Linked DNA regions of Lonchura striata. The protein of the gene in region 1 purifies or fractionates together with the protein of each later gene. This does not show direct contact. Links are inferred from orthologs where the notes say so. Each region holds a gene or a part of one and is shown in the gene's direction. Other genes may lie near its edges.

Region 1 (7,064 bases):
CAGGAAGTCACTTAATTAGTCTCTCAGGCCACTGAGCTTTTAGAACAGATGCTTTGCCAATTAATTTTCCCTCATCTGCAGCAACTCTTGTTGTTAGGTTTTCTTTCAGTTTCCTTCACCCATCACAACCACCTGCTGTTTGCAGAGCAAAATCATCATTCTTTTTTCTTCTTCTTTTTCTTCTTCACAGCTCCTGGCAGCACAGAGTTCTCTCTGTGATGGCTGTTCTGTCTCTCCTGCTGGCCATTTGCAGACACCAACCGAGGCAAATCTTTGCAGATCTGGTCACACTCTGCTGGGTCTATTATTTTCTCTTGAATATTATTGTCTCTCCTCATTTTCTTCTTCTTCTTCTTCTTCTTCTTTTTCTGATTGGGTTCCACATAACTCTGACTCTGATCCTGGCTGGAGCCCTGGGACCATGCAGGGAAAGCACTTTGCTTCAGAATATCTGCAGCTGACACGGCAGCCTCCTGGCACCTTTGCCATTCTTGCTCACTGTCTGTGTCACTGGAAAGGCAACAAGAGGGAAGGAATTTGTATTGTATTTTTTCCTTGAATTCACCCAGAACTTGAACAGCAGAATAATCTGAGATGAGAACACACGATAAACACCCAGTGGCTCTGAGACTCCCACACCTACAGTTTGCATTTAACCAGTCTGAAGGCCAGTGTGCTCTTTACACACACTAGGAGGAGAAAGAAAATCTCCCACAAACGTTTCTCATTCTCCAGCACTAAAAAAGTAACAAAATTCTGGTCTAGTCAAATATAGGAGTCATAAATGCACACTTCTCAAGCTCTTCAGCTTCCTATTCCCTTGTGGGAGTCTCAGCTGCCTCTGAAATGTGGGATGCAACAGTACCTGAGGAGCAAAGCAGCTGCCAGCACCTCACCTGGAGCTAACTGGCCTCCTCCTCCTTGCTGCAGGGCAAGGCTCCGGCTTCCCACAGTCTCCAGGGACAGAGGAAGAAAAGAGGCGGAAACCTGAAGTATGGAAAGAGGGGTTTTAGGCAAAATATAAAACAGAGGTGGAATCAATCAACTGCTCTTTTCCTGGAAGCCTCAGTGCTGTTTCTGTATTTCCACAGTGCTTGACAGCAAATATTTGGGACTGTGTGGGAGGACCTGGGGCACAGAGGTCAGAACTGAAAAGGAGCAGCTCTCATAGACACCACCAGAAGTTCTTTCAGTTCAGAGCAAATGTTTATGAGACACTGGGATGCACTGTCCTGGTGATGGACAGGATCCACCCCACCTGTCAGCAGCCAACAGTCACAAAACAGATACAAAGGCTGAGACTGGAACTCACCATCATCTTCAGAGTCAGACTGTGCCAACCAAGTCTGTGATGGTCCTGATGAATCCTTCAAGACAGTGATGACACTAAACAGAAAATCCCAGTCAGATCTCAGACAGGTTTGTGCACACTGAGCTACAGGTGGGTATTTCTGGGAAAGAAGATTAGAGGGAGATGTTGCACAGATCCTTTTTTGTTAGTGAGGCTGCCTCAGCTCCCTGTTTCCAGAGCAGACCAGGCCTTCTCTCCTCAGCAATGAGGAAGAGAAGAACAGTTTGAAAACAGTGTTTCTGAAGCCAGCTCTGAACAGCAGGAATTCCAGTTCCTCAGGGCCATCCTTGCCTAATAGACAGAGGGGCAGCCCAGTATCATTCTGCCAGCACAGCCCTGATTCAGGGACTGGTGGAGGTTGTGAGAACAAGATTCTCTCGCCAGCCTTTACAGGATGGACGTCTCTTTTTCTCCGCACAAGATGTTCACCACAGAGGCAAATGAAGACACCCAGTGCTGCACAGAGAGTTTTGACTAGATGGGCACAACACATCAGCAAGGTTAGGTCACAGAATACTGGAAGTTTGTACTTAATACAGGCATGAAGGAGACAAGATGTTGACTTTCCCGTGTTTAGCACACAAACACGTCAGTGTAACTGACCCACAGAACACAGGTTTCAAGCCTTGCACACCAGTACCTGTCTAGCATGGTTCCCAGTTTCTTTGCAACGTGTGCTCTGAACTCTGGAGTCGTCTGGAGCTCATTGTCACCCTCCTCACGGCCGATTGCCTCACGCCCGTTTGAAATAAGAACAAGGATTATCTCTTTCGAGGCCAATAATATCTGTCCCTCTCACCCAAAGCCTTAAAAACATATTATCCTGTACAAATTTAAGCATAATTTCAGATTATGGTTGGACTAATTCCCCAAACAGAAACTTCCCCTTTCAGTACGAAGTATCATAAGGTACAAAGCAGAAGCAGCAAAAATATTGCACATAAATTTTTTCTTAATGGAAACATTAAGTCTGAAACCAGAAGCAAAAATACCTCAAGCTTGGCTGATCTTTAGGCTGCAACCGATCCTTTCTAAAGCCCCCTGAAAGGAAAGCAGCAAAGCACACTTAGAGACTTGCCAGAACTTCCTTAACCCCCGTCAGGCACATGTCAGAGCATAAAAACAATGCCTGAAAGACAGCCCTGGGCCGCCTTCGGGGGAGAACAGTTATGAGGGGAAAGGGGAACTCCCCTCAGGCCAGGACTGCCGGGAGGGGGCTCTGGGCCGGGCTGGAGGCCGGACATGGCTCGGGAGGGTCGGGCAGAGCCCCCTCGCTTCTGACACCGGCAGCGCGGCACAGAGGAATCCCCACGGGTCAGAAGTTGCGGAGGGGGCCGGACCGGAGCGGCGGGGCGGGGCGGGGAAGAGAGAGGAGGGCACGCCGCAGCGCGGGGAGCAGAGCCCAGTCTGTCCCCCGCCCTCTCACCGCCGCACGGCTCCGCCCGCGCCGCCGCCAGCGCGGTGCAGTCCCAGGCAGCCTCCCGGAACCGCGCGGCCGCTTCGCCGCCGCTGTCCGAGTCCGAGCCGGTGTCGCTGTCCGGGCCCGAGACGCCCCTGGGCGCCGCCATCTTGCAGGCGCGGGGCACGCTGGGCGCTGTGGTACGGCCGCAGCGCGTGCCGGGAGCTGTAGTCCGGCCGCAGCGCATGCCGGGAGCTGTAGTCCAACACCGTCCCTCGTACCCGACTTTCATAAACTGATCCTTGTTTTAATCAGCTTTTGGAGGATCCGGTTCATGTCTGTGGGGCCCTGGTAACGTTCTAATCAGTTACTACACTGACATGAAAGTTTTTGCTGGGGCATAGAAGCTGTGCCAAGCTGTGCTGGTGGAAAACGAGAGAGTGGCTTTGCTGGAGATTTTCACCGCTCTGCAGGTAGGAAGGACTGCTTTGTGTGCTCCTCATGCCATCAGCGCTGTCACGTTAAGTGCTACATTTTCAAGTCATCTTGAAATTTTCTGGTGTGAGACAATGTGTTTGGTGACTCCAGGTGGGCTTCTGGATAACCATTTTGCTGTGGGTTTTGCCAAGCCTGTGTGCAGGAAAGCAGCAGAAAGATTTCGTATAACTGTTTTTATCCTGGTGGACACTTCCCGGCTTGCACCTTCCAACCTCCACGCCAGAACTCTGCACTCTCAGGCTGCCTGGCAGCAGACAGGTCACTGCCAATATCCTTGGGCTCTTTCTGATGGGTTCCCTTGGCACTAACTTCCCTTAATTTCTTCACTATTCCCTAATAAAACTCACCTGCTATAGTGGAATACCTTGGTTTAGGATTTACCCGTTCTCCACCATGTAAAGAACAAGCAATTTTGGGCTGTTTTGTACCTTGGAGTTCCCAGGACTGGTGGGGTGCCCTCAGAGCTGGGACAAACCCTCCAGAAATGCCTTCTCGGGCAGGTCACCTCCTCTCCCTCGCTTTGGTCCCTCTGGTTCTTTGGTTTCTCACAACTGTATACATACCTTTATCAATCTCTAAATACCTTTATCCAGCTCTCTGTTTCCGTTTCCATCCTGGAGATTCTCAGCTCAGATTCTTTCCATCCTGAATCCGCTTCTCGGCTCAGACTCTTAGCACTCTACACTCCTAAGTCAACACTTCGTTTCCCTCAAACTTACGTCCTTCCCTTTCCGTCCTTTTCTTTCCTCCCTTCCTGCTTGGGCCGAGCTTTCTCGGCGCGCTCCTGGCAGTGCCCGGCGCCGCCGTTCGGAGCGGCCCCGCCCCTCCCCGGGCAGCAGAGCCGCCCACGCCCGCAGGACCGGGGGTCGCGGCGGGGCCGAGCGCGGGCGGGGCTGCCCGAGGTAACGGGGCCGGGGGCCGGGGGCCGCGAGGGGCGGCGGGGCGGGGGCCGGGCCCTTCCGCCGGCCGCGCTTCCGGGCGGTCAGGTGACGGGCCCGGCGGAGGGCGGCTCGGTTCGGCTCGGCTCGGCGCGGCTCGGCGCGGCTCGGCTCGGCTCGGCTCGGCGCGGCGCGGCGCGGCGGGAGCCGCCGGTGAGCAGGGCCGGGCAGGGCCGGGCCGGGCGCGGTGGGGGGAGCCGGGGCCGCGGCTCCGGGGCCGGGCCGGGCCGGGCGCTGCGAGGCCGGAGCCGTCCCCGCCGCGGAGCGCCGGCCTCGCCCGGTGCCCTGGAAGCGCGGCCGGCGGGCCCGGGCGAGTCCCGAGCTCCGCGGCTTTGCGGGGCTCCGCAGGTGCCGGCGCCGAGCGGGGCCCGACCCGCCGCCCGCAGCGAGGGATGGCTCGGGCACGGCTCGGGCACGGCTCGGGCACGGCTCGGGTACGGCTCGGGTACGGCTCGGGGCACGGCTCGGGCACGGCTCGGGGCACGGCTCGGGCACGGCTCGGCCACGGCTCGGGCACGGCTCGGGCACGGCTCGGGTACGGCTCGGGGTGTCAGCTGCTGCGGCGGGACACCGGATATATTTTGAGAATTGCTCGTACATTAAGACTCGCTTGTTACTTCTTAAATCACGTCTGTTGTATGTAAAAACTGCTGTGTTTGATATTTTTACGTTTTGCTGCTAACCTGGGTTAGCCAAGCACGTCTCTCACACGGCACTGCAAACCAGGAAAACGCTGGGGCAGCATTACCCAACTGGTTATATTCCTTTTTTTTTTTTTTTTTTCCCCCTTTGGACTTTGTGAGGTAAGAGGATAAAATCTTTGTTGAAAGATTTTTCTTGGAGTCTATATTAAACCTTTATGGAACGGATAACAAAAAAGCAGTTACTTGAATCATCCGAGGGTTTTTGCTGTTTGCATTTACAAGGTACATGGACTCCTCGGTGTTCCCAAAAGAGCCCTTCAGCCTGGCAGCACTGACTGTAACACAGATGTGCATTGCAGAATCCCAGTTCATGAAACGAGGCCAGCAAGGGCACGTTGGACTGGAAGGCAAATGGCTGCTTTTGCAAGAGCAAGTGATCACAAGTGAATTCATGTTTTGGGACCACTTTGTGGTGATATTAAAATGCAGGTGCCCAATACGGGTTGCCGGAAGTGGAGAGATGAAACTTGAGAAATGTTTCCAAGGAGTTAAAATGTAACATGTTTGGGGGATAGAAAAGAGTAAAAAGGTAGTGAGAGATAAATATGTATTTAATGATTAACAACAGGACACTCATTCGTTTGTTAAAAATATCTAAAATGACTGTCAAGAAGTCAGTGCACTTTCTTCTAGGCACTGTCAGCAATTTTCAGCTAAGGTTACCTGGTTGTACTTGAAGCCCAGGCAATTGTAATATGTTAAGTTTCAGATTGTTGTTAAATTTATGAGTGGGCATATTTATATAAACTCTCAGTAGTAGTTTTAGATTTAAATTTATTTTCTAATTTGAATTTTCCTTTTGTAAAATTTTTCAGTGTCAGAAAATGACACTATTACCTTAGGGATAAGAAAAATACACTGACAAATCTTTTTGATTTAAACTGCAAAAGGTTCAGGAACTAAATCAGAACTTGTTTCATAAACAAACTAGATTTAGATTATTTAAATTTCAGTAATCTTAGTTAAAATAAAATTTATTAGGAAAGAAATATGGAAAAGGGTCTTTCCTGTGGAATTGACATCCAACAGTGCTGCTCTTTTTATTTCATTGTTATGGCAAAGAGGAACAAACTTTGGGTTTTGTTAATAAACTAGCCAGACTTCTATATTCTCACCAGAACTTTTTCTCATTTTTTCATGAAAAAAAATAAATACTTGAGACATCCTCATGTCATGCTGTGAACACGTATTCCAGGACTGTTTTCTATAGGTGAAATTAGCTTCTAATTTATAGTCCCTCTTTGCCTTTCTCAGGTTGAATTAACATTGAATTAATGCTGTTTCCAGCAGGTTTTTTTGTGTGTACCTTAACTTATGGTGAAAACTCCCCTAGCCTGTCTTGAAGTGTTTTTCGTGTGTTTTGAGGGCTAGGCAGTGTACTTTGGCAAATGCAGTCATTTGCTGAGTTCAGAAGTGTGATCTTTGACAGTAGCCACTCAGCTCGTGCTTTCCTGGTGTACAGTAGATTTACAGATGAAGTTTTTAAAATATTAGGGGAAAATTTCTTTCTGACTGAGATCCATACCCAGCCCATGGACATGCCCAGTCCCCTGCACTTACTCCTGTCGTGGACCTCCTGTGCTCTCAGCTGTCACCACACGTTCAGGTCCTTCTGGAGTTCCACCCTCTCATGTACCTCCACTTCCATGTCTTCATGCTCCACCAGGTTTCTGTATTTATTTAGGAAGCCTACTTGCAGATGAGTTCCTTGTTTCTTAACTGTTCCTCTGCTGCCACTCTTGATTCTTGGTAGTAAACGTCAGTCATTTTTCAGAAGAACCTGTTGGGGTATAACATAGGGATTGTGGTTTAAAGGAAATAAACAGCTAATCTAGATGGCTTTTATGAAACAAAGATAATGTTTTCCTGTAAATATGTAGAGAGCAAAGAAGTAAGAAAGAGAAAAGGCAAGATCTCAGAATGCCTGCAGTTAGGTATCAGCTGATTTTTATATCCTTTCCCTTGTTTTGTTTGTTGCTCATCATGCCTCCAGGGTTGATTTGGAGACCTGATCTGATGGATAAGTTTGTAGCAAACCTGCAAACCTTGACTGGCATCCCTCAATTGTGTTTACTTAACCCCAGAAGTCATATTCTATCTCAGTGTACTCAGTCTTCCTCCCAAACTCTAAAGCAAATTGAGAATGGGGTTCATTTGGCCTGTTGTGTTAGTTG
Region 2 (6,953 bases), on another chromosome or scaffold:
TCATCCCCACGGCTCAGGCCACCCTGAGCTGACAGCTCAGCTCTCCTTGGGCCACCAGCACCCCCCGCACAGACCCCACGGTCCCTGCGCCTCCCAGCAGCCAGCAGGGCACGGGGCACTGGGCACAGGACATGGCGCTGGACTGAGCCACAGGGCACAGGGAACAGGACACAGGGCTGAGACACAGGGCACAGAACACAGGGCACAGGGCACAGAGCTGAGACACAGGACCCAGGGCACAGTGTACAGGGCACAGGACCCAGGGCACGTGGCACAGGGCATAGGACACAGGACCCAGGGCACAGGGCAGGGCTGAGGCACGGGCAGACGTGGGATGGAGCATTGCCCAGCCCAGGCCTGTGCTGATGGGCCCTGTCCCTGCCAGCCCCTGTGGAGCAGGAACCCCAGTCAGCCCCGGGACCAGTACAGGGGAACTGGAGCCTGGAGCATCGCAGAGGTGCAGAGGGAGCAGAGCAAACAGATGGAACTGGGGCTTAGCAAAGGGATGGGAAAACCCAGGAGATGAGTCCAATCTGCTGAAAAGGCAGGAGCGGGTGGGGACAAGCCGAGGCTTTCAGGAGCAGACATTCCCTCAGGCATGGGCAACCACCTGCCTTCTGCAGACACGGGCCACTTGAAGATGTGAACTGCTTTTCAGGATGGATTTCAGCTCAGATCCTGAACTTTCTCTGCTCCATCTGCAGCCCTTCCATCTGAGGCTGCACTTCGTGAGTGCCTCAAACCGGCACCGCTGCCAAGAGGAGCTGCCACCTCCTTCACTACCTCCTCCTCCTCTTCCTCCCCCTCCTTTTCGTGCTGCTGCTCCCAGCCCCAGACCCTGGTACCTGTGGTGCCCATGGCAGTGGGGTGGAGCAGGATGGCTGTGAAGGGCCCATCCCACCCAAACCATTCCGTGACACCAGACAGTGCCAGGCCCATGTGGGGCAGCAGGAGGGTCCCCACAGCAGACCCCCAATGTCCACCCAGGACGCGGGGCTGGAGAGCAGCACCCCCAGAACAGAGCTGAGGGGGGGCCAAGGCGCAGAGCTGAGCTTCAGTCATTGCCCGAGCAAAATGGGCAGAGAGGAGGCCCGGGGGCTCTCCAGGGCTTTGTGGCTCCTCAGAGCGCTGAGACACGGAGGTGTTGGATCAGTCTTGCAATAAAAACCGGGGCTTTCTTTCTGTGGGGACATGTCTGTTGTGAGAGCTGAGAGCACAGTTGGGGACCCGGCTGGGGACCCTGCTCCTCTCCCCCAGACTAAGGGGAGTAGGAAACTCCGTCCGTCTCCGGGAGCTCGGGCTGCTGTCCTCCGGTGCACCCAGCAGAGCTGCGGCTCCTGTTCCGAACACATCGGCGCTTTGCTGCGCGGCAGCACTGCCTGCGGGAGAGAGGTGTTCACGTCGCCCTGCAGTGGCAGGGACAGCTCTCTCCGGGCGGCGGCTCAGGCAGCAGCTTTCCCCGGAATAGCTGCGGCTCTCTAATCTCGCTCTGCAGCACGGGGGTGCCGCTGGTGCCACCCAGACCCGCAGCAGCGCTGTGCGGCGCGCCCCGGCTCCCGCCGCTCGGCGGCTGCCGCGCTCGCTGCGGCTCCGGCGGGTCCCACGCGGAGCCCACGGCCCCGCGCTGTGCCGGGACGCGGCGCGGCTGCCGGCCCCGCAGCGTGACCCGCCGGGACCGCGGCTCTCTGCCACCCCCGCGATGCCGCAGGCCAGCGCGTGGATGTTGGGGGCAGCTGGGACCTGTCCCACTCCAGGTGTCCGCCTGACTCTCCAGGGCCCCGGGACCCTCTCCAGCGCTGCCTCCGCGCGAGCCAGGGACACCACAGGGTGGACACCCATGTCTAGGGTGGTGTCCCGGTGTCCCCAGTGCCCCACTGGGGCAGAATCCCTCTGTGACCCCTCTCTGGCCACAGCCCCAGAGCAGCTGGACTCTGAATATGTGGGCTCTGGGAAAGAGGCTGAAAATGGAACAAGGTGGATTAAACCCCCCTGGGCACGGTGGAGGTCCTGACCAGAGCTCAGGGCCAGCAATCCCAGCAAGGCCTGAGGGACAGGAGGGGGGCTCAGCCCAGTCATGGGGGCAGAAACGCGGAGAAACACTGAGGAAAGGTGAAATGGTGAATGAAGAGTAACCAGAATGAGGGGACCATGAACGCTGGCAGAAACACAGTGGGGCAGCCCTTCTCATGAAAATATTTTCCCCAATATCCAAAACCTCCCCTGGCACAACTTGAAGCTGTTTCCACTTGCCCTGTCCCTGTTCCCTGGCGCAAAGCCCGACCCCCCCGGCTGTCCCCTCCTGTCAGGAGCTGTGCAGAGCCACAAGGTCCCCCCTGATCCCCCTTTGCTCCAGGCTGAGGCCCTGCCCAGCTCCCTCAGCCCCTCCTGGGGTTCCAGCCCCTTCCCAGCTCCAGTCCCTGGACACACTCCAGCCCCTCAGGGTGTTTCTCGGGTCGCAGCAGTGCCAGCCCAGGGGCCGGGCACTGCCGGGTTCCGCTGTGCCCTGGGAGGGCAGAGCCACCGTCACAGCACGGCAGAACTGCAGGAAGGGGCTGGGACACCTTTGGGTGCCACTGCGGGGGTCCCCACCCTGCTGACCACCCCTCTGCCGCCCACAGAGCCCGGGCAGGGCAGGGCAGGGCGTTCCCACCCCCGGGACTGGCCATGGCTTCAGCTCACCGCTCCTTCAGGAGAGCATCAAAACTCCAAGGGACCCAGAGCAGCCCTGGGCACGGCAACACAAACGCTGCCTGGCTCCGGGCTGCAGAGCTGAGGAGCACAGTCCGCTCCGCTTTCCTGGGAACTGAAGGTGACTGGGAAGAGCTTTCAGGGGAATATTAAACAGCTTCTTAATCGAGACAGGGAGGATGGAAAAGTCTCACTCTCTGGGAGCTGAAGGCAGACAAATCCACAGTGACAACCAGACACTGGGATTATCTGGGAGGGGATGAACCGCTGGATAAACCCTCAAATCTGAGCAGACACAACCCCTGCAGCAGTGGATTCAGGCTCATTCCACTGTCGGGAAGGGTAAATCCCGGTTCTGTGCCTGCACGGATCAGCCACGGTTCAGATCTGCTGCTGTGCCACATCCACTGCCCCGACAGCGCTGGGATCTGCTGGGCAGCTCTGGCCCAGATGGGCTTTGCCTCTCTCAGGGATCCTGCCCTGCAGCCCCTCCTCGGGCTTTGCCTCTCTCAGGGATCCTACCCTGCAGCCCCTCCTCGGGCTTTGCCTCTCTGGGGGATCCTGCCCTGCAGCCCCTCCTCGGGCTTTGCCTCTCTTGGGGATCTTCCCCTGCAGCCCCTCCTCGGGCTTTGCCTCTCTCGGGGATCCTGCCCTGCAGCCCCTCCTTCCCACCCAGAATCCCAGCACGGAAACCGTGACTCCTCTCCCGGAGGCTCTCAACCCCACGTACCCTCAGCAGGAAGGGGCTGCCCTGGCACGCTGATGCCTCCCGGTTTTATCCTGATTTCACCCTGATTTTTTCCCAGGACAAATAATATGGAGGATAAAATCCTCGTGATCTTATCCCAGGAAATGTCAGTGCCACACCAGTGAGAGACCCATAGAGGGGACATTCTGGGAACAGGGGACATTGTTGTCCAGAATTTTCCTTCCATCCACAATGGTCCTGTATGGGAGAATCATTTTGTTCCCATCTCCCCCATCCCTGTTGCAGTATTTCCGTGGATGGACCTCTTCACCTAAAAGTAAGACTTGTTGACATAAAACCAAGAACTTTTCACTTAAAATTAAGAATCTTTCGCCTAAAATGAATAATTTCTAGCAAAAAAATAAGACATTTTCACCTAAAATTAACAATTTTTAACCTAAAATTAAGAATGTTTCACCTAATATAAAAGATTTTAATAAGAGCCTGCAGGTAGCTTTGGTCACTCCTGGAGATTCACAGCTCCAGAATCACTGAGGGTAGAACTCTCAGAGATGCCTGAGCTTGCCCACCCTCAGCATGGCCCTGGCCACCACTGCCCTTGTCCCCAAGTGACACACGCACAGGAATTTAAACCAGGAAGTATCTAGAGTATCTGGGAGTGACTGGAGCCATACTGGGGGTGACTGCTAGCAACTGGAACTACACTGGGGACAAATGGCATCACACTGGGGTTAACTGGGTTAATTAGAATTACACCAGGAGTGACTGAACCCATGCTGGCAGCAACTGGGATGGTATTTGGAGCAGCTGGGCCCATGCTGGGTAAAACTGTGACCACACTGGAACTGTGTGGGAACACCCTGCAGGTTACTGCAATAACGCCGGGAGTGTCGGAGGGGCTGGGATCGCACCGAGAATGCCGGTGCGCCGGCAGTAACCGGGAGTACACCGGGCGTGCCTGGCGCCGGGACGGGACTACAGCTCCCGGCGTGCTCCGCGCGCCGCCCCACCCCGCCACGGCTCCTGCCGCCAGGACTACACGTCCCATGGCCCCCCGCGCCTGGCCGGAAGCGGCGCGATGGCGGCCCGAGCCCGGCCCGGTGCGGCCGCGGCCCCGGTTCCCCGCGGCCCCGCGGGCTGAGGCCGCGCCCGCCCGGTGCCCTCTCCCGGTGCGACCCCCGCGCCTGCCACCGCCATGGCGCTCATCGAGGGCGTCGGCGATGAGGTGACGGTGCTGTTCGCGCTGCTGCTGGCGGCCGCCGTGCTGGGGCTCGCCTGGGCCTCCACGCGCGCCCCCGAGCCCGCGGCGCCGGCGGCTGAGGCGGCCCCGAGCACGGCCCCCGCCGAGCGCAAGGCCTCGGCCCCGGCCCCGGCCCCGAGCCCGGCCCCGGCCCCGGCCCCGGCCGAAGCAGCGGCGGCCTCCGATGAGGCGGCGGGGCCGCGGCACCGGAGCGCTCCCGCGGGCACCGCCGAGGGCCCCGCCGAGCCCACGCTGGTGCTGCGGCTCAAGTTCCTGAACGACACGGAGCGCTTGGCGCGGGTGCGCCCCGGGGACACCGTCGGTACGCTCAAGAGGTGAGGGCGTGCGGGCCGGGGCGGCCGGTCCCGGGCCCCGCCGGGCGTCCCTGCCCTCCCCGCAGCCCCTGGCGAGGACAGCGCTGGCCCGGGACAAGCGGCCCGTGCCCGGGCGGCGGGGCCGTGGGACAGCCCGTGCTGGCAGGGACGCCTGGGCTGGCTGATGGGCACACGCACGCCCGGGTGTGCGGGCAGGGCAGGGCTGGAGGACCGTGGTGGGTGCGTTGGCAGGGGGTGAACAGAGGGACTGTCCTGGCAGGTGGCAGCTGGGCGGGCACAAGCGTGCGGGGTCAGGCGTGCGGGGCAGGGTGGGGGCTCAGGGTGGGCACGTTCATAGGATGTGGATGACACTTGGGGTGGCTGACCGGGACACACAGGCTCAGCTGGGCACGGGTGGCGTGAGGGCTCACAGTGGGCACAGGATGGGGGTCAGTCCTGTCAGCAGTGTGACTGCTGTCCCCGTCTCCTCCAGGACCTACTTCCCGGGGCAGGAGCAGCAGGTGCGGTTGATCTACCAGGGGCAGCTGCTGCGTGACGATGCCCAGAGCCTGGCAGGGCTGCACCTGGGCCACCTGAGCGTCCTGCACTGCCACCTGTCCCCACCCAGCGCGGCCCCCACGGCTCCCGGCACCCCCGGTCCCCGCAGCCCCGCGCCCGCCGCACTGGGCGTGGGCAGCCTGGCGCTGCCCCTCTTCGTGCTGCTGCTGGCCCTGCTCTGGTACCTGCAGCTGCAGCACCGACACGTCTTCACCGCCACCGCCACCACCTGCCTGGCCGGCCTCACCCTGCTTGTCACCTTCGTGGCCTTCGCCATGTACCGCAGATAGCGCGGCCCGGACCAGCACTGGGGACACGTGGGACCTGGAGCCGCACCTGGGAACCTCAGAGCCTGCCCGAGCCACCAGGGACGTGGAGGACTCTGCATCCAGCCCCCTCAGCGTATCGGGGGCACGTGGGGCCTGCCCACTGCGGCTGAAGAGGAGCGCTGGGCCCTGGACTGTGTCCCCCGGGGGCCCCGGAGTCCCGAGCAGGCACCCACACCTTGTCTGCACACAGGGGCTGTGTGGGAGTGGGGGCTCAGCTACCTCGGGGGCTCCCAGTGCCTCCGTCCCTGCTGGCAGCATCCCCCCATGCACTTGGCGTGCAGAAGCCCCTCGGGTGCGGTCCTGCCCGAGCTGCTGGCCGTGCCCGCGGAGCTTTTCCTGGGAATACGGCCTGGCCCCTCCCTGGGGCTGCTCCCGGGGGTTCCGGTGCCCGGGGAGGGACATGAACCCTGGGGTGCCGAGGGTCCTGGTGCCGGCGGGATACGCTCCTAAGGTGCCTGTACCGGGGGAGAATTCGTGCCCCCAAGCGGTCCCGGTGCCGGGGGTGGCTGCACTCCCACTGTCCCGGGGGTTCCCATGCTGTGTTGGGGGGTCCCACCCCCCACCGCCGTTCCGATTAAAGCGGAAAGACTGTGACCGGCCGTGGCGTCCTGGCTGTGCTGCGCCGCGGGTCGGGGATGCGGCGGCAGCGGCAGCGGCGGCGTGAGACCGGGAACGGGGCGGGGGCGGGGCAACGGGAGGGGCGGGGCCTGGCTCCTCCCGCCACGCGCTCCGCAGGGCCGTAGCGCGCCTGCGCCGGTGGCTCCGCCCCGCTCTCAGCGGAGCTCTCGCTGATTGGCGGAGGTGCGGCGCTGATTTGCATGCGGCGCGCGCCGGCCCCGCCCCGGAAGCGCCGCGCGCGGGGCGGGGCCGCGGGAAGATGGCGGCGGGGCTGCGCTCCCGGGCCGTGCCCGTGCCCCGGCGGCGCTGAGCGGCGGCGGTGGCGGCGGGAGCGAGCGGCCGCCAGCGCCATGTACGGCCGGGCCGCGTGGGGTGGGCAGGGAGTGCCGCCGGGGGGACCCGGGCGGGCTTGGTGCCGGTGGAGGTCGGGGTATGCCCGGGAGAGGGGCGGGGGACACCGGGCAGGCGGGAGGTCCCGGCACCGCGGGGCCGAGCGG
Region 3 (7,582 bases), about 9.1 Mb from region 1:
GGATGGAGGTGTGTGGGCATAGAGGAAAACCTCTGCTGAGGCTGACCTCTTTGTTGCACACCCAGCGCCGACCCCGGGCTCGGCACTGTTCTTTCCTTATGGCTAGATAGAATTTGATTGCAAAATGAATATTTTAATTATTTTTTATTTTAATTTGGCTGGACAAATTTTCATTTATAGCACAGCCGTCCGCGCTCTGACCCCGCCGCCGCCGCCCCTCAGGGCCGGGCGGGCCCGCGCTGCGGACGGATCCCGCGCGGGGCACGGCGGCCCCGACGCCGCCGCACCTGATTGGCTGCGGCGCGCCTGGCCCCACATCAGCCCAGAGCCCGCGCTCCTCGCGGCTGGCCCGGCGGGGGAAGAGCCGGCGCCAGCACCGACCAATCGGCGCAGAGGTTTCTTAAGCCCCTCTGCCTGCCGACCAATGAGCGGCCGGAGCAGCGGGAGGTGTGCCCAATCGGAGGAGCGCTCTCATGGCGCTGGGCGGTTGGGGCCGGGGTCGCTGCGCGGCTCCCCTCAGCGCTGAGGCGGTGCCGGAATTGCCCGTTTTAGGATAAAAAACTCAGTCCCTGAATCAATTGGGCTGGGAAAGACGTCTGAGGTCATCGATTCCAACCTCTGACTCAACACCACCCTGTCAATCACACCACGGCAGCCTCGTGCAACCTTTCCTGAACCCCTCCGGGGCCGCTCATTCCCCCACCTTCCCCAGCCGCTGTTCCAATGTCTCAAACATCCTTTCTGCCAAGTGTTTCCTCCTAAAAGCAGCAGCAAAAACGCCGCTTTCTCCTACCCAAAGCAAATGAGCAGCTAAATCACCTGGAAAGGGACACAAAAATCCTCTCGCTGAGCTGAAAAAGGTGTCATTTAGAAAGGACTGACCCAGTTACAGCTCAGGGAGGAAGGGGGATGATGGATTTGCTGTTAAAACTGGGCTTTTAGGAAAAATATCTAAAGATTTTGAATTTTTTTTTTTTTTTAAGTCCTGCATACAGAACATCAGCCAGCTGGTTAATGAGTCTGGATAAGAATAAGAAATTCCTGGCTCATTTGATGTTCATGATCTCTGCAAGCTCTATATGGTGTCAGGAGTACAAGTAACCAGAATCAAAATCAAAGCTGAAAATTGTGTAATTTAGAAAGGACTGACCCGGTTACAGCTCGGGCAGGAAGGGGGATGATGGATTTGCTCTTAAAACTGGGCTTTTAGGAAACACTGATAGCACTTTTCCCCTTATTAGCAGCAGTTTTACTATCATGTCCTTCAAATGGGATTATGCATCCATGTTCCCTGCCTTAATTCCAGTTTTCCCTTATCCACACCAGTTTTTCCCTCTTTCAAAAGTGATTTTTAAAAAATCAAGTAAAAGAAGGAAAATTAAACAAACCTATAATGAGAAAATAGGCATTAACAGGACTGCAGTGACCATTGCAATTAGTTTGGAGACTAGATTAGGATAGCCAGAGGAAAATAGCCTCAATAAGATTAACTGGAATTGTCCATTTCCAAATCTTTTTAAGCCTTGCCTTATGCCTTCTAATAGTAATAAAAGGGTAGAAATGAAATAATGTTTTCAGATTAGATTAGGGGCTGTTCAAAAGATGCTTCAGAGCTGGTGGGCAGCAATAATGCTGCTGATGGCACTACCCTGCTGTGGGCTCGGAGGTAACCTGGAGTCACCTGCAAGACTAAACTGACTGATGAAATGCCAGAATCTATCAGATAAAAGTTTTGTAATAATACCTCAGGGCAATCTCTGCAATATGCCAAGGCCTGACCATGATCCCTTGAACCAACTGGATTAAGATATCTAAAGATTTTTGATTTTTTTTTTAAATCCTGCATACAGAGCATCAGCCAGCTGGTTAATGAGTCTGGATAAGAATAAGAAATTCCTGGCTCATTTGATGTTCATGATCTCTGCAAGCTCTATATGGTGTCAGAAGTACAAGTAACCAGAATCAAAATCAAAGGTGTTTGGAGAAAGGGAAAAATAAATAAAAGGGAAAGGGAAAAGGAAAAGGGAAAAGGAAAAAGGAAAATGAAAAAGGAAAAAGGGAAAACGGAAAAAGGAAAAGGGAAAAAGGAAAAGGGAAAAAAAGAAAAGAAACATTGACACATTGCAAGAAAAACCTCATGGAGAGGACATTAAGGAAAAAAGGCCTAAAATGACAAATGGTCATAAAGAGATCAGCTATGACAGGTAGAGGCTGTGAAATGAAGCAAAGACAGAAATAGAAGGGTCAGTGAGGTTAAGAACAGCTGGCTTTCTTTAAGGCCACACTTTTTTGAGTATAATGATGAAAAATAAAAAGAGATCTGCTAAAACTCATACCCATAGAAGGCCCCAATTTTTTCTAAACACTACTCAAATTGTTGTTAAATCCCTTTCTCTTGAGTAAGACAACTAACCACAGTTTTTAGTGCAGATGAAGAAATAGAGAAGCACACTCATGTCTCCTCTGTACAGTGAGACCCTCACCAGAGGACCTTTCTAGAAACCTTCCAGCTCTCCTCATTAAGAAGTTGAGTGTGGCTGAGATTTGTGTTTCATGCCATGATGCAATGGATTATTTGAGCAGACACTGTTTGGTTTATTTAAAAGAGCAGGGTGAAATACCATGTAATTTCATAAGAGCTGGGTATTTGGAGAGATAAACACACCTGAAATGGCCTCGTTGAGACAGGTCAGGATATCAATGAAATACCAGGAAATTTCCCAAATTGTCCTGACCTCATGCAAAGGGCAGCCACTACCACAGGCCTCTGGAACTCTGTGAAGAACAGATGGGAAGAAACAACAGACACTTTGGAGAAAGGATTTTGAAGGGATTCCACCATGGACATTCACACAGAGAAATAGGAATGTTCCCAAATTTGCACAAATAACCCGTTGAACCATAAGCAGCACAAGGGAAGGCCATGCCAACTTGAAGCAAATCAAAGTATTATACCAGGCACAGAAAGCAACACTCATGACAGCTAATTATCATCAGGTTTTTTTTGTATCATGAGACTCTTAACATGCAAGAAATGCCCCAGAAGCTGACATTTAGTGTGTGCTCAGAGCACAATGTGGAATTGAGGGCAGATAACCAGAAACCTCATAAGAACCTCCAAAATACCTCCAAAAATCAGCTACCAACCTGTTCTGGAAGAGCATGAGGCTTCAGACTGTACACAGGTATCAACAGATCAGCAAAACTTAAATGAAAGCAGCCTTTATTAATATATAAAGCATCTATATCCTGCTGAAATCGAATCCTAAGTACCTTCCTGGATGTGGGCCCATTACTTTCCAGGGCCAAATAGAAAACAATGCTGAGATGTCTGGGCTGTTCTGCTAAATGTGAAAATAAGCGCTTTGGCCAGAATAAAACTGGGGAAAAGGCCAGAGCAGAGATGTCTATATTCTAAATGTCTACTCAGCTACCAGTCCTAGGCTGAGCCACACGGCTTAAACATCAAGAACATGGAGTATAAAATCAGCTGCCACAGTCTCTCCTCCTAAGAGACGGTCCAAACTCCAAATCATCTTTGTGGCCTCTGCTGGACCCTGTCCAGCAGCTCCTTATCTCTCCCACACTCAGCAGCCCCGAGCTGGGCATGATGCCTTGAGAAGGCTGATCTAGAACAGAGACTAGACGGAGTTACAGAACAAAGCAGGGATTTATTAAAAGGATCTCCTCCATGGATCCACCTTGGGCAGCACAACTGCACCCAAAAATGGTCATAAAAAAGACGACTGGTGGGTCAGGGGGAGTTTCACACTTTTATAAGTTCTGCTCCATTTGCAACCTTGGGCAGCACAAGACCCCACCAGGGCTACACCCAAAAATGGTCACAATAAAGACGAGTGGTCAGAGGGGGTCTCACACTTTTGTAAATTCTGCTCCATTTGCGTGTTGGAGTTAATCATCCAGTTGCAGCGTGTTGCCTTCAGGGGAAGGCAAGGTGACCTTGTTGCAATCGGGCCAACAACACACGCTAATACCAATGCGGTGGACGGTCGAAAGGCCTTTATTATCTCATCTCATGGGTTTAAATAGTCTTGGGGGACTTTGCTACGTCAGGGGGGGTTAGTAGGGTCTCTAGGGTTAGTAAGGAGTGGAAAACTACTGGGTTAGGTGTGGTTACGTGTTGCAGGGTGAGGGGGGAAGAGTTTTTCTTTCCATCACATCTCGAAATCTTCCGTTCGCCTGTCCCTGTCTATTACAGTAGAGTTAGCTCATGAAGTCCCATCCTTCTCGTTTTTCTCTCTTCAGTCCATGTTGCTTATGCTCTTGGGGCTGAGATTTGGATCATTTATCGTTGCTAGCTAGAGAAGGAATTGCTTTATCTGCAGAACAGAGCTTACAAACACGAAGCTCAGAACTTCAAAGCAGCACAGAACCTGAAGACGAGCAGCGCTGCACCCCGACGCCCAGGCACAGCGCTGCGGACGCGGCTCGACCAGCGGAGCAGAGCCCCGTCCCGCGTTTCCCGGGGCCCCGTCTCCCGTCACTTCCTCGCCGCGCCGCCCCCCGGACCCGCCCGCGCGGGGCCGCTGCGGCCGGCGGGCGGCGCTGCTGCGGCGGGGGGCGGCCATGGCGGCGGCGCGGCGGGTGCAGCTCCGAGCGCTGCTGCTGCTGCTGCTGCTGCTGCTGCTGCTGGGCGCGGCGGGGCCCGGCGCCCGGGCGGCGCGGAGCCGCGGGGCCGACCGCCAGAACAGCCTGCGCCGCGCCGCCAGCGGCCTCTACCAGGGCGTCAGCGGCCTCTTCGGCGAGGACAACGTGCGGGCCCTGCAGAAGGTGAGCTTGCTGCTCGCCTCTCTCCTCCCCGGCCGGCTTGCCGAGCGTCTCCTCCCTCCCCAGCGCTGCTGCGGCGCTGGAGCGGCCGCGGCCTCGTCCCGGCGCGCAGCGCTGCTGCGGGCAGGGAAGCGGGAGGCCAGGCGTGCAGCAAACGGGGGGAAATTGCGGCTAAACGCTGAAGTGTAGGTGGTGCGAGTGGGGAGACGCGCAGGGCCGCCCGCTGGCCGGCTGAAATCCCGGCTGTCTGCAGCATCCTGTGCTGGGGGCATCGGAGCTCGCAGGGAGGCAGGCGAGGGAGGCCAGGCGTGCAGCGAGCTGCGGGGAAATAGCGGCTAAACGCTCGAATGTAGGGGGTGTGAGGTGGGGAGACGGGCAGGCCGGCTGAAATCCCGGCTGTCTGCAGCATCCTGTGCTCGTGGGGCATGGGAGCCGTGCGTTCCTCCGTGCCTGCTTTCCTCAGGCAGCAATAAATGCTGTTGGATTGACCTCTGAGTACACCTGAGACTGCTGGGGACATCTCTCAGTTGCTCGATAAAACTAATTCTTTGGTTTGCTTTACTAGTTGTTGGTCATAGTGTTTTCTCTAATCTTCAAAACGATAGTAAAGCCAATAAAGTGCATTTTTAAATCTTGCCAACGTATACATTTACATTCCAAAATACCTACAGTAATGATAATTGCAGCGCATAAATTCATGATTCACGGAGCTAAAAAAATTTCAGATTTACCATTTTTACTGTGGGGACTACGAAATAATCTGCAATTCTTGCTTAATTAATTATAATTCTACTCATGGCAAATAAGTCTCAAAGTATTATTTAGGAATTGAGGATTTTTTTAATTTTCAATTTTATTTCTCAGTTTTTCTCAAGGTTGACAGAGAGGTTTGTGAATGGGGTGGATGTATTAATGGACACATTCTGGAGAATATGGACTGATTTGTTAGATGTTCTTGGAATTGATGGTAAGTGTGATGCCTGTTCACCCTTGAACTGTCTCAGCCTGTATCAGTGTTTACAAGCGAATGGGAAAACAGTTACATTTTATCATGCTGCTTAAACATCCATCAGTGGTGTCTCTGCTTCACATGGCTTTGATTTTCCTATTAGTATCTTCAAACAAGAAGACTGAACCCCACCATTCCATTTCTGTATGTGTATCTACAGGATGTGTAAAGAATGAATTACCAGTCACGGCTGGTTCCTTGGTGTCATCATTAAATGGATTCACACAGCCAGGAACAGTGCAGGGAAATCAATGAGGACCAGAGAAAAGAAAAATGCAGTTGAGAGCCTTTAGAATGTAGCTTTGACAAAGCAGGATCTGCAGCCCCAGTATGAATTTTGACCTCAGGCTCTACAGTGGTTTGTCTTTAAAGAGCCTTTAGCACCTTTGCTGGATTGAATTCAGTTGAATCGCTGGAGCTGAGCCAGTGGTTTGAAGAAGGTTCATCCAGAACTAGGTGAACCAGCTTTACCCTTTACTTTAGAAAACACAGCCGTGACCCCACTGCTGTGGGGATTTGACCCTTTGGAGCTGTGCTCATGTGTTTGCCCCGTGCCACCTTCGGCCCACGCTCATTAACACCCTGCACATTTCCCTTTGTTTTTCAGCCTCCAACTTGACTCATTATTTCAGCCCAGCAGCGATTGCCAACAACCCGACCCGCGCCCTCCTGCTGATCGGTGCCATTTTACTGGCCTACTGGTTTTTATCTCTTTTCCTTGGATTCTTCTTCTATCTGCTGCACATGCTGTTTGGCCGCTTCTTCTGGATCGCCAGGGTGGCCCTGTTCACCCTGTCCTGTGTGTACATCCTGCAGAAGTACGAGGGCGACCCGGAGCACGCCGTGCTGCCCCTCTGCTTCGTCGTGGCCGTCTACTTCATGACGGGGCCGGTTGGGTTTTATTGGAGAAGAAACAGCAACAGCAGCCTGGAGGAGAAGATGGATCACCTGGATAGTCAGATCAGACTGCTGAACATCCGCCTTTCCAGGGTGATCGAGAACCTGGACAGGGGCAGCGAGCAGTGAACCCGCCCCTGCTGACCACTCTGCACCAGCTCTGGAAAAATCCTAAGCACTGTCTCATCCGAAGTTACAAAGCAACAAAACATCACATGGTAAAAAGTGTGCGAAGTTATAACTTTTCATCATGTCTAAGACTTAATTTATCTAGGTTAAACACTCAGCCGTTAGACTTCTAGGAGAAAGAAAAAACCATTTACAAAATTCAGCTGTATATTCAGAGTTTTATCCAGTACTAGAATTTTCTCAGTAGATAAACGCTTACTTTTACAAGCATTTAAAAACATCTTTTGTAAAGTTTTTATAAAAGCAAATTGAGTAGTCTTTCAGATATTGAAATTGAGTTAAACATATGCAAATTTGACACTAACAGTTAAAAAGAAAAAAAAAAATCTCAAGCTACCAAGCACTTCCATTGAGAAGTAACTGCTGTGGGTCCATATTTTTTCTTCAGAGTTGTGAATGTTTTTGTGTTTTTGTTGGCTTATTCCATTGCCTTGAAGTTGCCTTTCATAGAGTATCAGATGAGGAATTTTCTGGTATCCAGGCCAAAAAATTCACACCATAGCTTTTAACAGGAGGTGGGGAATGAGGGAGAAGGAAGATCTGAAGTCCTTAAATGCCAGTCCAATGTGAGGAAGCACACGTGTGGCATTTTATCATCGCGTTTCATCCCGAGAACTTTAATTTGTTAGTGTCTGGAAGGAAATCTGCTTTAATAAATTGGCACAGAAGGAAGATGTAGTGTGACAAATTGTAATTCAT
Region 4 (7,031 bases), on another chromosome or scaffold:
GGTACTTGGATATTTGGAAAGTTGATTTTTTTTTTTAAGTATTAAAATACGAAAGAGCTAAATGGTATTTTTGATCTTGAGGAGAGATAGGAAGCAGTTACTGGGCTGCTACTGAGAGCACAAGTGGCAGTTCTAAAAGAAAAGGATTGAACAGCCATTAAACCTGTCAATAAGAGCTCTTCAGAACAGCTCTGACTGTTCAGGGAGGAAATGTGCCTGCTCCTGGTATGTTCTCCCCCCTCCCTCTTTGCAAAGTTGCTTTTCATCCTGTGTAGTTGCAGCAGAACTGGTGCACAGGGGAGGAAGTGGTGCAAAGGAGAAGCCACCTCCTGCAGCAGCTGCTCAAACTAACCAGGATTGTGCCTCCTTAAACATTATTTTTAAGCAATTCCACTGCTGCAGTTCCACCAGGATCAGGGCTGGGAAGCTGCTGCTTGTTTCTGACAGACTGGGATTTAGAACAGGGAGGATTTTGTTCAAGGCTGGAAGTTTTCAGTGTGACTTTTTGAAATGCTTGAAAGAAGTAATGTTTATTTAATGGGAAGAAGAGAAGCACGGTCGTCTTGCTTGTGATGCAGCTGTCTCTTTCCATTTACAAAATATCACTAAAATTCAGGCAAAAAATGCAGAGCAGGAACAAGAACTTCTCAGGCAGTTGTACAGTCAGAGTTTCAAAAATTAAATCAGATAATGAAGGGGAAAGGAATCACAGCTAAGCCATGGGAAGAATTGAAACTGAAAATAAGCTCCGCTTGGTGTGGTTTTCTGAGAAGAAATTGCACAGCTGGAGAAAAAGAGAGACAGCTTTGGGGAAAGTGTTGGATTCCATCACAGAAAGGGATCCCTGTGTTCCAAAGGCCATGCTTGTGGCCCACTGTAGGAGAAGGTCCAGTGTCTGAGTTCCAAAAGGCATCCCTTCACTGCAGTGCTTTTTCTCCTGAGTCAGCTGGCTGCCGACACCTGCCTGAATCATATTCTTCTTTTTAAAGGGAGCAGAGAGCCATAGACCTGTACAAGCAATTAAAAACACGACCTCCAGGTATGGAAGAAGATGATTTAAAGACTTTCACACTTTTACCCCATGATTAATTGTTCTGAACTGAAACCCAGGCAATACTGTTAGGATTTACTAATGTGGTGGTTGCTGGCCCTTGCAGATCATGCCTACAGTGACAGCACAGACATGGTGAAGATCATTGTGCAGACAGTGCAGAGCCAGGACCGAGTCCTCAAGGAGCTCTTTGGCCACCTCAGGTACTTTATGCAGACAAAAAACCCCAAACAAATCCAACTTGCAGCATTTGTAGCTTTGTCGTCAGAAAGGATAGGGAAAACCATGGAGGTCAGAACCCAAAAGGCTCCATTCACATTTCTCATAGCTTTAATTCTGCTCCTTTGTGTTGAGTTTCCACTTCATTTTTAAAAACATTGTTAGCATCCAAGAGTTCACTTTAAAATGAGGCAAATTCTGCCAGTTGGAAGTTGGAATACAAATCTTCAAAGGAAAAAAAAAATTAAAATTCCTGCAAAATTCAAAGGAAAAAAAGTTCCTTCAAATTCAAAGGAAAAAAAAAAAAAAGCAGTAGTGTTACAGAGAAGATAACGCAGTGATTTGTACATGAATTTTTCAAGTATCTTGGATCCCAAGATCCTTTTGGTTTTGTTAAAATGTGCTGGGAAGTGATTTTGTGTCTGCTTTTCATTCCAGCAAGCTCTTGGGCTGCAAGCAGAAGATCATTGACCTGCTCCCCGAGATTGAGGTGGCTCTGAATAACATCAAGGAAGCTGACAACTCAGTGATGCAGATGCAGGGAAAAAGACAAAGGGAGATCTGGCATTTGCTGAAAATTGCTTGTGTGAGTAGCTGTTGGGTTGTTTGCACTTCTTGCAGTGCCTGAGCCGGGAAGTAAACTCAGCAAAAAGGGGTAACTGCCACACCATGGTTGGATTTTTTTTTTCCTGTAGAGAAGGGCAGTCTGAGATGGTAAAAGCAGAAGTTAAATAGGTGCTTTCCTGGTTAGTTTGAAGTGTTTAAGAGTTCCCTTTTTTTGCATTAATTACAGTGCCTGAAGCCACCTCGTGGTTCCCACATCTCTGTGTGTGTTACCAGCAGTGCTCAGGTGCAATCCCAAATCTTCCCTATATATCATTGAAGCCTAAATTCTTCTGAATGTCTTTCTTGCAGACTCAGAGCTCCTCCCGATCCCTGGTGAGCTCTAGCCTGGAAGGGACAGCCTCAAGTCCAGCAGCCACATGGCTCCCCCAGAGCTCCTCAGGGAACACTGCTCCTCACCCTCTGTCCTCGCTGGCAGCTCCTGAAGATGGGTATGAGCTGCTGCTGGGGAGCAGCCACTGCAGGGAACTCAGCATCTCAGGGGCTTTGTCCTTCCCACAGTGGTTTCAGGAGTGTGTATGTCACTAACGCTCTAAAAAATCAGGGATTTGGTTGAACTCTCTATTCAGAAATCTCTGCTGTTTCTGAGCTAGTTCCACATGGTACATGCCCTGCTGAAGGACTGTGCATCCGTTTATTGCATGTCATGTTGCTCTTCCTTGGGGCTGGATCTGGTTCTTAAGGCTCCTCTCCCTCAGTCTATGCTGAGTTCTGTGGCGCTGAGGGGTTTTGCTCTTTGCTTCATTAACAATTCTAATTATGTTCTATCAGTGTGAAACCATTCTCCTTTGTCCTGCCACCTCCAGGCAGGTTTTTATGTCACCTACCACTGCACAAACTACAAATAACTTTTTTGGGTTGTTTGTTTTCCTTTTTCTTTTCTTTTTTTTTTTTTTTTTTTTTTTTTCCATCAGTGCAGCACCTTTTGATGGGGGTGTTACTTTTGGTGCTGCTTGAAATCCATCACCTTGGGGCTTTTTTCCCTTCCTGCAGGGAAAATTTTGCTGACGTGATCCGGGAGAATTTGAATTACCTCGAGCTCTTCAGCAGCATTCTGCAGGAGGTGAGGCAGGAGCAGAACAGCATGATGGTAAGTGCTGGGGCATCTGCCAGGACTTGGCTCTCAGGGGACACCCAGGGGTGCCCTGGGCATGTGGAGAAATCCTTGAATAGGAAAAGGTACCAGGTTGCTCCAAGCCCCATCCAGCCTGGCTTTGGACACTTCCAGGGATTCAGGGAGAGCCACAGGTTCTCTGGCACCCTGTGCCAGTGTGCATGGATACATGTCTCTTCCCAAAATCCCACCTAGCCCTGCCCTCTGGCAGTGTGAAGCCATTCCCCCTTGTCCTGGCACTCCAGGCCCTTGGAAATAGTCTCTTCTTTCCTGTAGCCCCTTCAGGCACTGCAAGGCCACAGTGAGGTCACCCTGGAACTTCTCCAGGCTGAGCCATCCCAGCTCTCTCTTTGCTCAGAGGAGAGAGGAGGCACTCATCCTTTGGGAATCCCGAGATCTCCCAAACTAGAGTGGGCTCACAGGGCTCCTGTGCTGTGCTGCATTGTGCTGAGAGCATCCTTTCTCACGGCAGTCACTGATTTTTCGCCAAGCAAGACACACATCCAGTATCCAGACCCTGCGCTCAGTCGTGTTTTTGCTCCTCTTCGCAGAGTTTCGACTGGAGCTGGCTGAAGTAACCCCAGGAGCTGCGGTGCTGCATCACCCAAGTGCCTTCTGTGTGCTGAGGGCCGCCTTCCCTGTGGGACATGGCGGTGTTTTATGGCCATCGCCGGTGTTTTATGGCCATCGCCGGTGTTTTATGGCCATCCCTGGTGTTTTATGGCCATCACCAGTGTGTTACTGCTATCACCGTGTCACCCACCGGCTGTCCCCCAGGCAGCGGCCTGGGCCCGGCCCGTGGAGCCTCCTGAGGGCGGGGGGCGGTGTGACCCATGAATGTATAGTGCGTGTATATAGAATGAATAAACTCGGAGCTGACAGGCCGAGGCCTACTCGCCATCGCGCCGTTGCCTGGCAACTGGGGAGGGGGAGGGGGGGGGTCGGTGGCGTCATCACCCCGCGCCGGCCCGGCGCGCCCAGAGTGCCGCGCGCCAGCGCGCGTGCGCGGAGGGGCTGGGAGCGCGGCCTCGGCGGCACGTGGGGCACGGGGTGAAGGTACGGGATAACGGTATAACGGGGTAAAGGTACGGGATAACGGGGAACGGGTAAAGGTACGGAATAACGGGGTGAAGGTACGGGATAACGGGGAACGGGTAAAGGTACGGGATAACGGGGAGCGGGTAAAGGTACGGGATAACGGGGAACGGGTAAAGGTACGGAATAACGGGGTGAAGGTACGGGATAACGGGGAACGGGTAAAGGTACGGGATAACGGGGAACGGGGCAACGGGATCGGGGTAAAGAAACGGGACAGGTATAGGGTAACGGGGAGCGGGTAAAGGCCCGGGACAGGTACGGGGGAATGGGATAACAGGGAACGGGACAGGTACGGGATAACGGGGAGCGGGGGAACGGGGTAAAGGAACAGGGCAGATACGGGACAGCAGGGATAGGGGTAAATGTACGGGACAGGGATCGGGATAAAGGAACAGGACAGGGATTGGGCTACAGGAACAGGTACGGGACAGGGATCGGGGTAAAAGATTGCGATAAAAGCAGGACAGGGGTTGGGATAAAGGAAACGGATTGGGACGAAGGAACGGGACAGAGATTAGGGTAAAGGGTAGGGACAGGGATTGGGATTGAGATGATAGGGACAGGAACAGGACAGGGACTGGGATAAAGGATTGGGAGGGCTGTGGGACAGGGATGGGACAAGAATTGGGGTAAAGGAACGGGTCTGAGACAGGGATTGGGGTCGTTATGGAGTAGGGGCAGGTACAGGGTAGGGATACGGGCGGGATGGAGAGCACGGGGACGGGGCCGGGCGGTGCCGGGGCAGTCCCCGCGGGCCCTGTCCCGTCCCTGTCCCGTGTGTGCGGGCGTGTCCCGGTGCCGGGCGGTGCCGGGCCCGGCGCTGACGCCGCTCCGTGCCGGGCAGGGCCCGCGGAGCCCGGCGCCGGGAGGGGATGCGAGCATGGCCATGGCCCAGGCCGGGGCGGCGGCCGCGGCTGCCAGCGGGCTCCTCGTCTTCCTGCTCTACTCCGCCATCCACCGCGTCGAGGAGGGACACCTGGCCGTGTACTACAGGTACGGAGCCCTTCCGGAGCTCGGCGCCCCGGGTCGCTCTGCCCTGGGCTCCCTCCGGTTCTCCCCCAGGGTTTGCACCCGTGCTGCTTCTGCTCCCTTCGCCCCGTGCAGAGCCCGCGTGTGCTGGGCTGGCTGAGCCCTCGGCTGCTTCTCCTGCCCCTCCTTCCTCCCTGCCCTCTCACACTGATCTCAGAGCTTCTCCGCGTCCCTCCTCGCATCTGTTGATCTCCCTCTGTGCCAGCAAGAGTTGTCACCTTTGTCCCAAGCAGTCGCCCAGCCAGAGCTCCTGCTGTGTCGCTGCTTTGGAATGCTTTCCCTGCCCTTCCTGCTCAGCACCGTGGATGTTTTCCTTTGACCACAATGGTGTTCAGCATTAACACCCCAGGGGGCTTTTCTCTGGGCGAGGGGCTGTGCCGAAATCCAAGCTGGCAGCATCACATCCATGGCTGGATTTTTCCATGGTTACCACTGAACTATTTAGAGAGGAGAAGTCTGTGTTCTTGCAGCTCTGTGCAGTGTTGCAATGTTGGGAGGGTTTGGCAATAGCTGCCTGCTCCAAGAGTTAATGGCTCGCAGGCTTTACGCAAAGTTGCAGCAGGCAAAGATCAGGTGCACTCAGCCCTTTTTCTGTGGAATTGCTGGCGAATTTAGGGCACTGATGCAACTCTCTGTGACCCCTGGCAGTTCGAGCTGTCCCTGCATGTTCTCAAAGGCAGCCCTTGCTGTTTGCACCTTCCTGAGCCTGTTTTCCTCCCTCTCCTCAGGGGTGGAGCGTTGCTGACCAGCCCGAGCGGCCCTGGCTACCACATCATGCTCCCGTTCATCACCACCTTCAAATCCGTGCAGGTCGGTGCCCTCTCCCTGCCCTGGGGAGCCACACTTGTCCCCTTGGAAAGCTCTCCCCACCGTGTGTGTGTGTGACACCGCTGGGAGTGGCAGTGTCCTGCTCAGGCAGGACAGTCCATGTCTGTGGCTGTCACTGTTCCCCTGCAGCACCGCATTCCAGAGCAGGGAAACAGGCACAGCTGCCTGTGCATCCCCCAAAAGGCAGGGGAGGAGAAGCTTTGCCTTCTGCCCACACCTGCAGGCATCACAGGGGTGGCAAAGGACATGCTTTTGGCTCTGTGGTGCCACTGTGGGAGTCTGGGCCTTCCTGGAGTCAGGTTTGTGAACAGTGCCTGTGTTTGTGTTGCAGACCACGCTGCAGACTGATGAAGTGAAGAATGTGCCTTGTGGGACAAGGTATGGCTTCCACTTGTATTTCTTCTAGATGCACTCCTTGGGGTCCTTTGCAGTGCTGGGACACAGGGATCGGGAAGGAAAGGCACCTGCCATAGAATTAATCCCAGATGTACACACATTTATCCCTCTGTAACAACAGGAGGGAGCACTGACTCTTGCTGGAGCTGTTCAGAGCATGTTTGCATTTATTGTGATGTTATCTTGAATTTTTCTGGGCTTCTCCCCTCAGTTCTCTGACACTCCCTTACTTGTGCTTTGCTCTGCCCTCAGACTGGTCATTTCCACTCTGAGTCCTGTGGCTGATACAGGTGCTGACCCCAGCAGCAGGCAGAAGGAAACAGGGAGTGGGAATCCTCCTGATGGGAAGGAGTTCATTTCCAAATGAAATTCCTGCTGGATAGTCAGGCTGATTCTTCTGTCAGCACAGACCTGCTGGAGTTGTAGCAAGCAGGAGGAGAGGGCTGGTTGAGTTGGGTTACAGATCCTGTTGTGCTGGTTCGTCCACAAGTTAAAGTGATGACTCTTCAGGGTAAAAAAAAACCCAGTGATTCTCCTTGTCTTTTATGTTCAGGGTCCTCAACAAAATTTCTGTTCAAAAAATTAAATCAGTGGTGGCACACAGTGACCACATTGAAATTAAAAGGTGAATTTTAGTGGCAATGTTAATAAAACAGAGTTAATTTTGATCAG

The links. The genes of interacting proteins can lie anywhere in the genome.
Region 2: the proteins of RNF185 (region 1) and TMUB1 purify together in Homo sapiens (affinity purification with mass spectrometry; 5 studies listed by BioGRID and IntAct, with this or other methods). This does not show direct contact. The link is inferred for Lonchura striata from reciprocal best matches to the Homo sapiens genes RNF185 and TMUB1.
Region 3: the proteins of RNF185 (region 1) and BRI3BP purify together in Homo sapiens (affinity purification with mass spectrometry; 3 studies listed by BioGRID and IntAct, with this or other methods). This does not show direct contact. The link is inferred for Lonchura striata from reciprocal best matches to the Homo sapiens genes RNF185 and BRI3BP.
Region 4: the proteins of RNF185 (region 1) and ERLIN1 purify together in Homo sapiens (affinity purification with mass spectrometry; 3 studies listed by BioGRID and IntAct, with this or other methods). This does not show direct contact. The link is inferred for Lonchura striata from reciprocal best matches to the Homo sapiens genes RNF185 and ERLIN1.

What each region holds. Positions count from the first base shown.
Region 1 is NC_134620.1:4,592,513-4,599,576, reverse strand, and holds the start of RNF185 (E3 ubiquitin-protein ligase RNF185), read left to right. Parts: upstream 1-4,043; 5' UTR 4,044-4,150; intron 4,151-4,250; exon of another isoform or gene 4,251-4,339; intron 4,340-7,064. Other genes in the region: C18H12orf43 (protein CUSTOS), read right to left, coding at 156-510, 897-987, 1,313-1,386, 1,992-2,091, 2,345-2,392, 2,778-3,042. UniProt on the Homo sapiens protein: E3 ubiquitin-protein ligase that regulates selective mitochondrial autophagy by mediating 'Lys-63'-linked polyubiquitination of BNIP1.
Region 2 is NC_134603.1:156,868,764-156,875,716, reverse strand, and holds TMUB1 (transmembrane and ubiquitin-like domain-containing protein 1), read left to right. Parts: upstream 1-4,546; 5' UTR 4,547-4,592; coding exon 4,593-4,972; intron 4,973-5,444; coding exon 5,445-5,799; 3' UTR 5,800-6,432; downstream 6,433-6,953. UniProt on the Homo sapiens protein: Involved in sterol-regulated ubiquitination and degradation of HMG-CoA reductase HMGCR. Involved in positive regulation of AMPA-selective glutamate receptor GRIA2 recycling to the cell surface.
Region 3 is NC_134620.1:13,693,593-13,701,174, reverse strand, and holds the start of BRI3BP (BRI3-binding protein), read left to right. Parts: upstream 1-4,561; 5' UTR 4,562-4,587; coding exon 4,588-4,791; intron 4,792-5,652; coding exon 5,653-5,755; intron 5,756-6,404; coding exon 6,405-6,823; 3' UTR 6,824-7,582. UniProt on the Homo sapiens protein: Involved in tumorigenesis and may function by stabilizing p53/TP53.
Region 4 is NC_134609.1:37,328,525-37,335,555, forward strand, and holds the start of ERLIN1 (erlin-1), read left to right. Parts: upstream 1-4,010; 5' UTR 4,011-4,064; intron 4,065-4,950; 5' UTR 4,951-4,986; coding exon 4,987-5,099; intron 5,100-5,863; coding exon 5,864-5,945; intron 5,946-6,294; coding exon 6,295-6,341; intron 6,342-7,031. Other genes in the region: CHUK (inhibitor of nuclear factor kappa-B kinase subunit alpha), read left to right, coding at 990-1,039, 1,158-1,254, 1,709-1,856, 2,186-2,325, 2,888-3,203. UniProt on the Homo sapiens protein: Component of the ERLIN1/ERLIN2 complex which mediates the endoplasmic reticulum-associated degradation (ERAD) of inositol 1,4,5-trisphosphate receptors (IP3Rs).